Arabidopsis thaliana: one gene and its partner. The protein of the gene in region 1 interacts with the protein of each later gene in a pairwise test. Each region holds a gene or a part of one and is shown on either strand. Other genes may lie near its edges.

What was found.
Region 2: the proteins of HS1 (region 1) and ALF5 interact in a protein complementation assay, tested with the Arabidopsis thaliana proteins (one large-scale study listed by BioGRID).

What each region holds. Positions count from the first base shown.
Region 1 is NC_003074.8:5,879,403-5,885,859, reverse strand, and holds HS1 (heat stable protein 1), read right to left. Parts: upstream 3,942-6,457; 5' UTR 3,895-3,941; intron 3,796-3,894; exon of another isoform or gene 3,784-3,795; 5' UTR 3,543-3,783; coding exon 3,403-3,542; intron 3,154-3,402; coding exon 2,964-3,153; 3' UTR 2,660-2,963; downstream 1-2,659. Other genes in the region: AT3G17225 (Plant invertase/pectin methylesterase inhibitor superfamily protein), read left to right, coding at 929-1,486; PMEI2 (pectin methylesterase inhibitor 2), read left to right, coding at 2,011-2,532; UPL6 (ubiquitin protein ligase 6), read right to left, coding at 4,728-4,794, 4,924-5,013, 5,106-5,177, 5,284-5,357, 5,466-5,546, 5,641-5,730, 5,820-5,990, 6,212-6,278 and 1 more.
Region 2 is NC_003074.8:8,451,901-8,459,889, forward strand, and holds ALF5 (MATE efflux family protein), read right to left. Parts: upstream 4,809-7,989; 5' UTR 4,689-4,808; coding exon 4,407-4,688; intron 4,123-4,406; coding exon 3,578-4,122; intron 3,419-3,577; coding exon 3,332-3,418; intron 3,232-3,331; coding exon 3,175-3,231; intron 3,077-3,174; coding exon 2,838-3,076; coding exon of another isoform or gene 2,797-2,837; exon of another isoform or gene 2,764-2,796; coding exon 2,645-2,763; intron 2,566-2,644; coding exon 2,461-2,565; 3' UTR 2,003-2,460; downstream 1-2,002. Other genes in the region: AT3G23570 (alpha/beta-Hydrolases superfamily protein), read right to left, coding at 6,152-6,292, 6,429-6,529, 6,618-6,707, 6,830-6,920, 7,144-7,270, 7,446-7,467, 7,561-7,708.

The DNA.
Region 1 (6,457 bases):
TTTAAAGTTTTTTGCATATTGATTAGAAAATTATTTAATTTTTGTTTATTTATAAACTAAAACATTATTTATCATCTACCTAAACACAATTCAACCAATAGTAAAACAATCTGCATTATAAAAATATTCAAAACCAAGAAAATTTTTTACTTTTTGCATTGAAAGTGGAAAACATCATCTATTTTAAAAGAATTTTTCGTCTAAAACATCAAATAGATAAAAATGGAGGGGTATATTAAATGTCATTAACTCTCATGTACTAGTAACTTAAAACCAATAAATGAATAAACCAAATTCGATATGATTTTTTCACTCTGTATGATTGATTGTAGCCCTAATTGATTGTGTTCAGTTTGCTTCAAATTTTTGGGAATGATTCGTTTCCTTTAAATATGTACTATGTTTGTCATAAAAAACTTACGAAAACGATAGTTGAATAGTACGTACGACAAACAATACTCAAAAGAAGATATAAAACACTGTTTGGAATGCGGACACTCATCCATAGAATTCCTATGTTTAGATTTGGGAGTTTTGTTTTGCACAAAAAATAAAAAGAAAGTTTTGGGAGTTTTGTATGATATAATATATATTTAATAACCCAAGATTTTGAAATCTTTTCAAAAACAAAACTCCTGAAAGTGTAAGATTTTCTTGTAACCCCAAGTCAAAAGTCAAAGATATTTTTCTTAACTTAATCAATCGAATAACAACGGTGGATTGCGAATTATATTGAACTAAAGAAGAAGGTGTTTAATTAGAGTCAACAATTGACTAAGAAAAACAAATTTGGGTAACATTTCATCAACAACACCAAGCTAAAACTTGACTTTTGTCGTCCAAAAACTATGTATATTAATATTAGTATGCAGTAAGAACCTCCCAGACTCTCAAGTATACGCATAATTATCTTTCCGCAGCCAAGACAATGGCTTATCCTTGCGTCAAAAGAAACGTATTTTCACTTCTTCCTCTACTCCTTCTTCTATCAATCACCCCTTTGTCTTCATCTTTGTCTCCGAGTGACAAAGTCACAAAAACCTTCTTATCCCGACTCTGCACAGAACCGCACATTGACACCAACTTCTGCATCACTTGGCTAATCTCTGATCCAACAACATATACCCTCGACCTACAAGGTCTTCTCGATTTAGTCTTCCAAAAGACGCAATTATTGGGCAATAAGAACCTAGCGGCGATGAAAGGCTCAGTGAATACCACGACTGATCCGACGCTCAAGATCCCATTTGAGACTTGCGTGAGAGATTATGAAGGAGCCATTAAAGCGATCGAGGAAGCTCAAGGGTTTGTGACCTCTAAGGCGTACCCGTTAGCATCTCAAGGGGCTGCTAAAGCCTTCATTAGTATATCAGTGTGTGAAGCTCAGTTTGCAGGAAATGTGCCGGCTTATGTAGCAAAACTCAATTTGTTTTTTAAGAGAATGTGTAATATTGATAGGGTTTTCTCCGACGTTTTGACTTCTTGATTCTTTATGTATCTTTCACCTGCAAGAAGGCAGAAACTACTAAATGTCATTCACGCTGATGTACTAGTAACTTAAAGACCAATAAATGAATATATTCATAGTCAAAATTACCGTGTCTTGCATCTCAGCTAAGACTTTAATCTCTCGTTACTTCTGGTGTATATTTATGACAATTATCTCCATAGAACCTCTTCCTACAGTAATCTTTCTTAGCACCAACAAATCATGAACACATATTAGTGAATGCATATCTACCTAAAGAAGAGAAGTCAGGAAAGTAAGTTAGACGAATACTAATCAGATAACTGTCTCTGCACTAATGCTAAGAATAGCAAAGTTTTCTCTCTCTCTTACATAAGGACTTGTGGTCTAACTAAGAATCAGAAAGAGTAACAACCCATTTCTATTATTAGTTCTAGTGGAAGCAATCAATCGCATGCATCTATAAATATGAATAGTCAGGCATAGTAAGGGAATAACTTAACCATCATCTACCAACGAACATAAGAAAGAAAGAAGCAAAGATGGCAGCATACCTGACGAACAGAGTTTTAATGTCTTCTCTGATGTTTTTTGTAATGACTGGTTCTTTGAACGCACAAGTGGCAGACATAAAAGCGATATGTGGAAAAGCGAAAAACCAATCCTTCTGTACGAGCTACATGAAATCCAACCCAAAGACCTCAGGTGCTGATCTTCAAACGCTTGCAAATATCACATTTGGTTCTGCACAAACAAGTGCATCAGAAGGTTTCAGGAAAATTCAATCTCTAGTCAAGACAGCAACCAACCCCACTATGAAGAAAGCATACACCTCATGTGTACAACATTATAAGAGTGCAATAAGCAGTCTCAATGATGCTAAGCAGAGCCTGGCGTCAGGCGATGGCAAAGGGTTGAACATTAAGGTTTCAGCAGCTATGGAAGGACCTTCAACATGTGAACAAGACATGGCGGATTTCAAAGTTGATCCTTCAGCTGTGAAGAACAGTGGTGATTTTCAGAATATTTGTGGCATTGTACTTGTCATCTCAAACATGATGTGAGAGTGGGATTGATTCAATCTCCCTTCATCATACTCATTAGACGATTACATTAAACAGTAATGCATAAATGTTACATATATAATCAAAGAACTTTTTTTCTCCAACCCACACATCAACAAGAACCTGGTTTCTTTTCAACTTGTTATTCCATATAACTCAACTCTATTGATAAAAGAAACTAAGAGACAACAACTAGTAATAGACTTATAACAAAGAGGAGTCTGAAATCAAACACTCTTAATAAACTCATGATCTTTTTACAGATCAAGTATAATACAACAGAAGGAAACAAACAAACAAACAAAAAAGAGAGAAATTCACAGAGAAACATGAGAACAATGCAGGAAAACTCAAAAGGAATATACTTTATTCAACATACAAGATGCATACCCGAGAAAAAGATCAATGATGAAAATGCTGCTACAAGATAATTAGAGAGAGACAGAGGTAGGCTTGTAGTCAATAACCAAAACTTTATCCAAGCTGCCAAGGAAGATGGTGGCGAATTCAACGTGAGCAGGATGAGCAATGTACTCTGCAACAGCTTCTTTACTCTCAAATGTGGATTCAAAGATGTGTGTGTAACCTTGATGCAGATTCTCAATGCTCACATCTTTTCCCCTAAAATTATACAGATCCAATAATTCAATAAGACAAGAGCAGATTCGTCGATTTAGTTGATTTAACTTTTCAAAAGATCATCAATGGAGATGGATTCTCTCTGAGGGAAATTAGATCAACACTAGGAAGGTCATGAATTTCCCCAAATTGCTTAGTTTTACATAATCATATTGAGTTGATGGAAGTGTTTTTCGGATCTCGAGCATATGTCTAACACTAGGAAGCAATTCAGAATCCAAATTTACTAACCAGTGGAAAGCTTTCATAGGTTCGATGAGATTGACGAGATTGGCGTAACCTTTGATGAGCTCTTCGATTTTCTCAGGACTAACCCCATCTTTGAAACTAGCAAGCAATACGTGCTTCACAGGTCCCTTTGCTTCCTCCATTTTTGATCCTTATCCCCTGCGAATGCAAATCTCCACTATTCCACTTATCAGCTCTCTAAAGTCTTAACTAAAAATGGACGGTCGAGATCTTTGATTAAAAGAGCGGATTTGCGACGTGCAAATACGATCGTCGGATTATTGTTTTCGTTCCAAAAAATTAAATAAAACGTCCTCAGATATAAACATTACCAGATGCTCCTGGTATACTCTGTATTGAATCTTCTTCTTTTTTTTTTCTTTTCTGTGCAAATTGAATTGAAGCTTTTTTAATTTATAAAGTGTTTGTAACAATTATGTTTACTTGATTAATCATGATAAGTGCGACAAAAAATGTATATAGAGATATTCTTACCACGGTGATAATAGAGTTGGACTGTCCAGCCGCACTTAACGCCGTTTTGCAGCCGTCCAAATAGCCTTTCTATAGAAATTGGTTAACACAAATCCATGAGATTGTTAGTGCATTTGAATCTTGTACATTCCGTCATATTGCCACAAACGCAAATCTGATCGCGCGTTCCATTTCTTGGGAGTGTGATTCAAGACAGAAGGTTTCAGTCTAAGTTTTACTTAGCACTTGGAGAGCCTTCATGACTTCACAATCAAGTGTCTAAGGAAAGTAAAGTTTAAATTTCATTTTGTATTTCTCGTTATTTTTCTGTCATTTTGTTTCTGTTTTAATAATTATCATATGACAAAAAAAAAAAAAAAAGGATATTCTTACCACTAAGTCACTAAAATGCATCTTTTTATAGAAGATATATGGTATGATGCAAATAAGTATCAAAATAATCATCTATGTTCTGTGTAACATGCATTAATTAAGCAAAATAATTTACAGCATTTAAGTTCCTCTTGAGACCAGTCTTATTTACCATTTCTTTTATTGAATTTTTAACCCAAGACTAACTCTCAGGAGCTTCCAAATAAAGACTTCCCTGTAATCACTTTTTTTTTTTTGTCACACTTTTTGAAAGCGAATACCCGAGAGCTGCAAATGAAACCCATTAGTCAAGTAATCTCTACTACATGTTCTCCTTCTAGATCCGTCTCTTAGATGCTTAGAGCCAACAAGCCTGCCTCAGTCTACAGGTTACCCGGTTTATACCATAACGAGGAATGCTAGAAAAAAGGGTGTCAATTTGGGGCCATTGAAGTCTGTGTTTAAGGCAGGAAGCTATTCCATCAGCTCAGATCAAAACCCGCTTCTGCGCTTATGGCGTACATCAATTTGGTCTCAAGTAGCTCTTTGCTGCATCATTAACAACAAGACATGCTTTATTTGCTTTTTCCAATTACAACACCAAGAGAAGCTATTTGGCAACAAAACAAGTCTCTTAGCTAAGCAAAACCAAAGAGTTTGTGTTATGAGAGGACAAACCTTTGATAGGGCGGAAGCTTAAGAAGATTCATACAAGTGGCTGATGTCGGTAGTCTATCAACTGATTCATTACTCGCACTACCGGCAGCCCTGATACACATTCCATCGAGGATGGATATTTTATGATTCTATTGTCCAGGGCCCATCAAAAGTCAAAACGATTGTGAGTCTGTGTATATTACCTCTGTATGCAGAATGCAGGTTCCAAGTATTTGAAACCCAGCAGTGGTCCTCGTGAGCAGCCTGTCACAAACCTGAAATTGAAAAATAGAGGTACCTCTTAGTTCCCTTAGAAAATTCATAGACTCCGGTAAATCATTGCGTACACAGACTGTAGTAGTAACTGCAAAGTTTGCTTACTTTAAGAACTTCTTCTGGTTTTCAGTTGAGAAGCTTTTCATAACTTCCCAGAACATATCGATCACATAATGTCCCTGTCAAGTGTCAACAACATAGCGATATAATCATATATAACAATACTCCAAAAGTGTCCCTACACTAATTCACAATGGCATTTCGGCTAACAGTGAAGAACCACTCACCGCGTGGTAGCCTCCAGCATAATTAGTGTTGTTTCGCAAGTCGTCTATATCCAAACTATCAACTGAACCAGATATGAGAACCTGCAACCAAAGCCCACAAAGGTAAAATTTCTCTCTTCATGCTCCTCGAGGGAACAACTAACAAAGCAAGTATAATTATACACTTAATTGGCACCTGAAGCTCATGTTCATTGAACATGTCGATCCATTCTTTCGGAATGAGTTGCTGAAACCCCCTCAAGAAATGAGAACTCTGCTGGCGTATCTGCAAATGAGATGATATCAATAGCTGTTGATTTACAGGGTGACCTCAGGTATGCCAAGATAAATGAGAGGTAAGTGGTTCCCCAGTACCTGAAAATTTAACCGATGATTGGAAACCAGATGAATGAAAGTTATAACATTCTCATTTGTAACTCGCATGTCTTGGCCCCCTGGAAGTAGCTCTTCCTCTGTCCTCTCTCCATATTCATTATTCAAAATAACAAAGTAAAGCTCCAAGTCTGAGATATCACCCTTATAACGCTGCAAATATCATAATGAATACATAAAAAGGTGTATAAAGCTAAGAAGCAAAAAAAAAAAAAAAAAAAAGAGCCAAAATTATCGTAGGTAGGTAAACAAACAAATTTCAGTTTCGAAACAAAAACAAACAAACAGATTTCAGCATTCTCGCACATCTATGCTAGCAACTATCTCCCCGTTCTACAAAGCAACAATTAAATAGAATGTTCAGCAAAACTCACCTTCAGAAATATAAGGTGCCTATACAACTCAGGATCCAGAGAAGGCAAATCGTTCAAATAGTTGTACCTAGCCAAAGAACAATAGAAGTTTCACAACATGTTCAAAAAGTCTATGCGGGCTTAAAAAACGAATGAAGTGACAGGAAATTGAGGTAGAAATTAAATTTACATACTTTTGTTTCAGTTTGCTGAGGAAAAACGTTGCAAATGGTATATCAACAAGAATCCCTTCAAACATAGCCTGCA
Region 2 (7,989 bases), 2.6 Mb from region 1:
TAATCTTCAAAACTTTGATAACAAGACTGAACTAAAGAAGCAAAAAAGCAAAGGTAAATGGAGGCATAAACATAATTTAAGAGAAGAGATGTATCAAGATGAGAAAATCTTCACTAGTTTGATGAAAATATGACATCTTCATTAACGAAATGTAGAACAAGGCTCTTGAGTCTCTATACAAATTAGAGAAAACTCAAACTTATATTAAAAATCCTCAAAAACAAGTTTAAACCATGCTGGCACTTCAAAATTTGTGGGATGACATTGCCTATGTCGATGTGGAGGCCAATCTGATACTTGCATGATTCTTCAACTTTCCCGCTTTGATCTACCTCTGCCCGATGTAAGAATCGACGTGTGATTTGCCATTTTCTTGCATGGGACCATCACAAGGTCGATGTGGGTCAGGGTGAACGATGTGAGATCTAGGAGTCTCATAAACTTGTGTTCTCCCTTAAACGTCTTTTAGCTTGATCCATTCCGCTACATGCTATGTTGCTTCTCCCCTTTATTCTCAAATGTAATCCAAATTTTAATCTTTTGTAAGGGGAGAATTATAAATTATGAATTTAAACTATATATTGTATATCTATCTATTGAAACCCATAATTACAAAAAAAAACTAAAAAAAGTTTTCTAGTGCCGAAATTCGATCCCGGAAACTTTTCAAATCCGGAAAGCCATCAATCAATTAAACCGGAGAAACAACAATCGAGATAAATTAAATCCTTGTGTTACAGCGGATCTTTTGATAAGCAATGAATTTACACTGTATATATATTTACACAAATAACAACAGATAAATTAAAAAAGTTTCCGCTGCCAGGATTCAAACCTAGAAAGCGATCAATCGATTAAACTAGAGAAACAGCAATCAAGATGAATTAAACCCTTGTACTACAACGGATGTTTTTGATAAGCAATGAATTTACACTGTATATATTTTTACACAAATAATTACATATTTCTTTTTAAAAAAGTTTTCTTATGCCACAGATCGAATATGAGAGACGAATTCTTTTGATAGGCAATGAATTTGGTTTGTGGATTTCAAATTTAGGAAAGTTATCAATCAAGATGAATTTAACCATTGTGCTATAGTGAAACTATTGTTAAACTAGGAATTTACACTATATTAGGGAAAGACTAACATGACCGAATAAATGAAACACAAAAGACGACTAACATTAACGAATAAATGAAACACAAAAAAACGAGTTTAATTAGGAATTGAAGTTCAGTTCAAAATTAGAAAGATTTGTATCACGAAAGTTCAACATAGCAAAACAATAGATGAGATCGAACCATGTGACATAACGAGGTTTAATTAAGCACAATCCTAGATTCTATTCCTTAGCCCACCAAATAACAACTACTTAAGTTTCATGACACTGTTTTATGTTAAACTTCTATGGAAACAGTGTCAAGTAAATCAATTGATGGCATTCGTAGATTCTATTCAAGTCAATCACCTAATTATGTTAAACTCTATCTGAAAATAAGATTATGTAATAGGCTTACTAATCATCCTAGCATCGCCTCATGGCTAAATAATGGAAAACTTATTAGATTTGTGTTAAGTAAATTCATAACGGCCATAACCTCCTTTAGGACATGGAAAAGCCTAAATGAACTGTATGATCAAACTTAATCTTGTGGAGAATGATCACACATCATAAAGATGAGAGAAGATTTGAGTAGTATATAAAAGACATTGGATAATTCATTAATTACCAATTGGTTTTGAGTTGGAATCCCATGAAACTTAACATGATAGGAGAGTCCAAACACACGTTGTCTGACTAATCTGGCCAGAAAGTTGTCTGAGCATTCTACTAATTGATGGTTTAAATGAAGATTCAATCCTATCGAGATAGATAGAAAATCATTATTTCGAAGAGACGAGATAGATTCTATCAAAATTAATGGCCAGAAAAGCTATTATTTTGAGAAAACGTGTGGACAAAGATCTCATATTTAAGCTAGCTCATTGCCAGAAAGCAAACAGGATAATATGGAGACACCAGACCAGACGTGTGTAACTAAGCAAGAGAAATAAGTTTACATAGAAAGCATCAAAATTTCTGATTTTAGCACAATATGCCAAAAAAATCGCCAAAAATAGTAAAACGACGAGGAATTAAAGAAATAGAAAATGAGAAAAGTTTCTTGCTGACGATAACGAAACTAGTCTAGTAAATTGAAGAACGCAACTAAGAAGAAGTTGGTTTCAAAGATAGCTTAGAATGATGCTGTAATATTCAAGCCATGACCAACTTTGTGAACCAGATTATTTCCCTTACACTCCAAAAGAATAAAAAGAAAACTAAGAAAGATAAATCTTAACTAAGCGTTTGGAAAATGATCATGAGTTCCAAATATATATCTTGATAACTGATTCCATATCTGCTTAAGAAAATAAATGTGCCTCCGTAGAAAAATGGAACGTAACTAGAGTTTTCAGACCGTAGCAACATTCAGCTTTGTCCACTTCCGGAATATTGTCATAAGCAAAAGAGATGATGATTGGCAAAATATTCCACATATCAAACCAATCCACAAACCCTGTCGCCATCAAAATAATGAATCAAACATAACATAATCAAACAAAATTTACTAATCTTATTATAGAATCAAGCAATACCTTGGCATAAAACTTCAACTTGAAACCACAAAAGGCGGCAATCGGCATTCCAATTAAGTAGAATGTCGCCAAATTTATAACCGTGACTAAACGCTGCCATCCGCATCCTCTTGCAACTCCTGTAAATAAATTTAACAATGATTTTTACCACCCTAGATGAGTAAAAAAAAAAAATATATATTGGATCTTTTACCTGATAAAACTCCTTGGATTGAATCAAGAGTTATAGAGGCAGCAAGAAAAAACCTCAATGATGCAAACTCCTCTTTAATCACATAGCTATCGCTAAATAACCCAACCCAACCATCATGACCTACGAGTAAAACAATTACAACGCCGAGAGCAAGAACTAAAGACAACTTTACGGACACAGAGGTCGCCTTCTTTGCGCCTTTTACATTTCCTGCTCCAAGTTCATTGGACACACGCGTACTGCAATATTTATTTTCGATTTTTACATTTCCGAAACAATATTTTTCAGCAAGATGGAATACAAAGTATTTTGAAACTATCTAGTAAAATGAGCAAACCTTGCAGCTGCACTAAGTCCGTATGTTAACATGTAGCTAATCGCCTCCGTGTTGACGCTGAATTTATTTAACATAACACACATTGAGAAATTTGATATAATAGATAAAAAAAACATTAACTACCAAAAAAGTGATATTAAAAATATATATTTTTTACCATATAGCGACCAAAGAAGTATTGATTTCCGGGTTTGGCATCACTCCTGCCAAGAACACAAGAATCTCGAATGCCCAATATTCCAAACTGTTGCAACAATATAGTCTCTTAAGCTTCAACAAGCCTAATGATATTTTTTTTTCTTTTTGTCAACATGTACTATTTGGTTTTGACCCCGGGTATGATTACATTGACTAATATAAACCACTAGGCTAGATATAACGGTCAAGAAACATATATACTTACCATACCATAGCAGCAGAAGGGAGGCTTAATGTCAAGTTTATTACGATATAACGGAATGATTCCAACGAAAATCCAGTCCATGTTTCCTTAAACTTTTCTGAACACATCACATAAGTTCCAAGCGAAAGGAAAGCTATCCACAATGAAATAGATGTAGCTATTGGAGCACCAATGAATCCAAGCCCAGCTACATAAACAAGAACATATGCGGTAGCAATGTTTATCACCAAGGGAACAAACGAGAAGATGACTAGTGGAGCAATGATCGATTGTGTTTGGCAAAATCTCAAAATATTTTGTAAAAACCCGTAAGCTAGTAAACCGGGAGCTTGGTACTTCATATAGAGTGCAGCTTGTTTTGAAATGCTAGGATCTTGTCTGAGAAGTCCAAAAATCGATTCTGTGAAGAACCAGAAGATGGTGATGAGGATGCTGAAAACTAATGAAACGATGCAAGATGATTGTAGATGAACTCCCAACATCCTGTATCTTTTTGCACCAAAGCCTTGTCCACATAATGTCTCAAGTGATCCACTTAACCCTACCTGAAAACAAAGAGACATTAATGTATGTCATAAACAAGCACTTATACATATATACCGTTGGCCAAATGTTCTTGAAGATGTCGTTAATAAAAATTTAGACAACTCCTAAAATCATCTACTAGTCATTTATGTCGAATAAATCATTTTAAACAATCTTGATTCTTGAATTCGAGTTCGAGTCTATTATTGAGATGGAAATAAGTGGGTTTTAGTAACTTTTGCAAGTAGACATCAAAACAAGATTTTAAATTACAAAAGCTAAAGAAATAAGGAAATAATGGTACCATGAAGGCAAAACCGGAGACGGTGGCCCAAGAATTGGCAAGGGTGGCACCGGCGAGCTCGAGTTGACCGAGGTGAGAAGCAAACATCACAGAAGTTATAGGAATACAGTAGTAGAAAACATTGGTGAGTATCATTGGCAAAGAGTAAATCATTTGAGCTTTTGCTTCTTCCACGTCGATCACTTTTTGAACCAAAGTTGATGATCTTGATCTCCTTCCTCTTTCATCTTCTCCACCTACATGGTCATCCAACAACGGAGAACTCGTTGCCGGATCAGCCATTGGATTTTCTTGTTGAAGGACTTTGGGTTTGGTTAAGACTTGAAGAGGAGAATTGTGATTTGGCAAGGTGAGGAATTAAATAAGAGATGTACGCAGAAACAGGATATTAAATACCAACACAAGAGGCCTCTCTGCCATTTACTGCCACATTATAATGCAATATAAATACATTTTTTAATTATGCCAAAAAAGATTCAATTTATTACATCCTCAGACTAATTATTTTTGGATCAGAATCAATAATCTTAAAACAAAATGATGACTTAAAAAGTCAACCAATTAAATTTGCAATGTACTATAATCAGGCAGCTCATGAGTCATGACCACCCGATTACCACCTCAGGAAACTTTGAACATTGGACTTAACTTATCGTTAAAATTGTGAATAACAAAACTTCATCAATTAAGAAATATTTCTATATTACAACAATTCACCTGTTTCAAGACATGCATAGGATTGGTATTAAAATACAAAAGTAAAACTAATGAAAATTTGTATTTGAGTTTTTTTTTTTTTTTACAAGTTTTCATTAGTTGTATAGTCACATTTAGAGAGAGTATCGTAAAGACGTCGTCACCTAGTTACCAAATCTATAGGAGAACTTTTAGATTTAAGAACGTTTTCCATACTCAAACTCAGAGTTCAGATATGGTACCCTCTGAGCAAATATTTATGTTTGTATCTGATTCGTGAAATCGAGGACTCTGATGCCATAAGATTGAAGAAGTTTCCATCTCACAAACATGCCTCGTTTATTTCATTGATCTGATTCTGTTTTTTTGGAAGAGAGTTTGTTTACAATTTTTATCTGATTCTACAGCTCATCTCCAGTACTAGGATCCAATTCTAGTCAGATTCATGGTTACTCATCTTCTTGTTTTTTTCTGAACCATGGTTACTTATCAACTAGAACCAACAAAGACAGATAATTATCTGAAATATCAATACAAGAATCCATATTTAGAAAAAAAAATTATTTTTAATCATCAAATTAATAATTAAACAGAAGCTGGTGAAACTAACAACTATCTGTTAAACATTAGTTGAGAATTGCTAATTTTGTCAAGGTTTTATGATTTACTAAGAGGTCGATTTTTCAAAAAACAAAAAAAATCGTAATGCAGATGAATTTTAAAGTAGAGCTAATTCATTAGTCATAGAGAAAAATCAATTTAGAAAGATTTATATAGCTGAATTTGGGGATGTCTTTATTTCAATATCAACAACATAAATAGGCTTAAGGTCCAAAGGAACATTAAGATATTTCTAGAACGTCTTAAGTTTAACTCAAACTGATGTTTCTCAGACTGAAACGAAACAGAGAACACTAGCCACAAACATGACAAAGCAACATAAATTAAAGAAGATACTACTAGTTACATTTATTATTTAAAGAGTACTAGACATGATTTTGGGTCTCCGCTGGTTATGTGCAAACCAAAGCTTAGACCGTTTCAAGTTCTCACTTGAGATAGTCGATGAGCCAAGCGAGCATGTCCTTGTGAGCTTCCATTGCAGCTTCAACTTCTGATGGATCATTTTCATTGTATCTAACAGTCCAACCGTGTTTGCATCTTGGGAATATCTTCACAAAACTCTTCACCTGAAACATATCACTTTGCTCACAATTATCTACTTGAAGAAGATATCTACTTCCAAAAACACATCAACTACTAGTTGTGTTTTTGTAAGTAATGAAAATATTACCTTGCATAAAGACATAGAGCTAAGCAAAGTACCTGAGGTTTAGAAGCTAAAATATCTTCGAACTGCCTCACAAGTTCTGGAGGAGACACTTGATCGATTTCAGCTCCTAATACAGCAATTGGAAGGTTGACCTCTGCTTCAATCATATAGTGAGAGTCATAATCACAACAAATGAGAGAGAACTATCAAGTAAGGAGTGGCCATATCAAAGATCTAAATACCCTTGATATCATCCACCGTAACGCGAGCAGGATGTAACAAAACAGTAGCGTCAACAAGCTTTTCCTTAGCTAGTTCCACCGCAACTTTTGCTAAAGAATAAGAAACAAAAAGTCTTGTGTTAACTAATATACATGGTTGACTTATTATACAGATCATGGAAAACATTTTCATAAAACTGTGGTGATGATGGGAACAAGAAAACCGAACTCACCACCCCAACAGAACCCTGCTGCTCCTATACTAGTTATGCCTTTGTTCTTCAAGGCCTCCACTATTGGCTTTGACTCCTCAAACCCTTTCTCCTACAAAATCCATAGTCTGGTTTCAGATACATTGACACAGAACAGTACAAAAACACTGACTTAATCTTAGCTTTGCAATCAACAATAAGTAGTGATAGCATTTTGGCACTAATAATAAGGGATTATTGGGATACTTGGACTATTTCATGCTGGGAAACAAAGACTCATTTATGTTTTTGAGAAAAATTGAGGATTGAACATTTAATAAGGAAAAGAAACTAACTAGTTCATGATCTTTCATCCAAATAGGAAACGGACGATCCTGGTTCTCGGGATTATAAGGATCTCCATGGAAGAAATCAGGAACCACCGCGTAGAATCCAGCTTCTGCAACCTTGTCAGCAAGTTTCCTATCAAGGGAAGAACAATATCCATGACAAGTTACAGCAAGAATGAAACATCTTTCGAGTGACTATAAAAGGTGATATAAACTATAACTCATTATAACAAAGAATCTGAAGTAAAAGACTGTCTAACAATCAACAAAAGACAAGCTGATTCAGTAGGGATTCTCTGTTACAGCACCTCAGGTTTGGAGTTTCATATCCTGCAGAAGAAAACGTTTTAGATTCTCAAATCAAACCAACAAATTCAGAAAGAACATCAAACGTAATTGGGACAGGTAAAAAGGTTTTTTTACCGAAAACATGAGGGACAAGAAGAACAGCAAGCTTTGAATGAGTGGAACCACAGACGTAGGTGTCAAGGTTACCGAGTTTCTCGACATGACCCGACCCGCTAGTTGGATCCAGATCAGGCGGGTTCTCGGTGCACTGATGACCTGACATTCTTGTTTTCGCCGAACCAAAAAACAAGACGACTCCTCTCTCGCGCTTTGGGACCTCTGTTTTAAAAAGTAAAGCCACCAAACCACCTTTGACCTTTCACACCAGTTATCTACACTACGTGTGCGTATCTACTCTTCCACCTAAAAAAACTCACGTGCGTTAAATAAAAACTAACTTTTGCAATGTTAATTTTTCTTAGAATAAATTTGCTAAATGGGGTAATACCTTACCTTGAATGATTGAATGATTCTATGCACTTATGCAGAGTAAAAAACAAAACC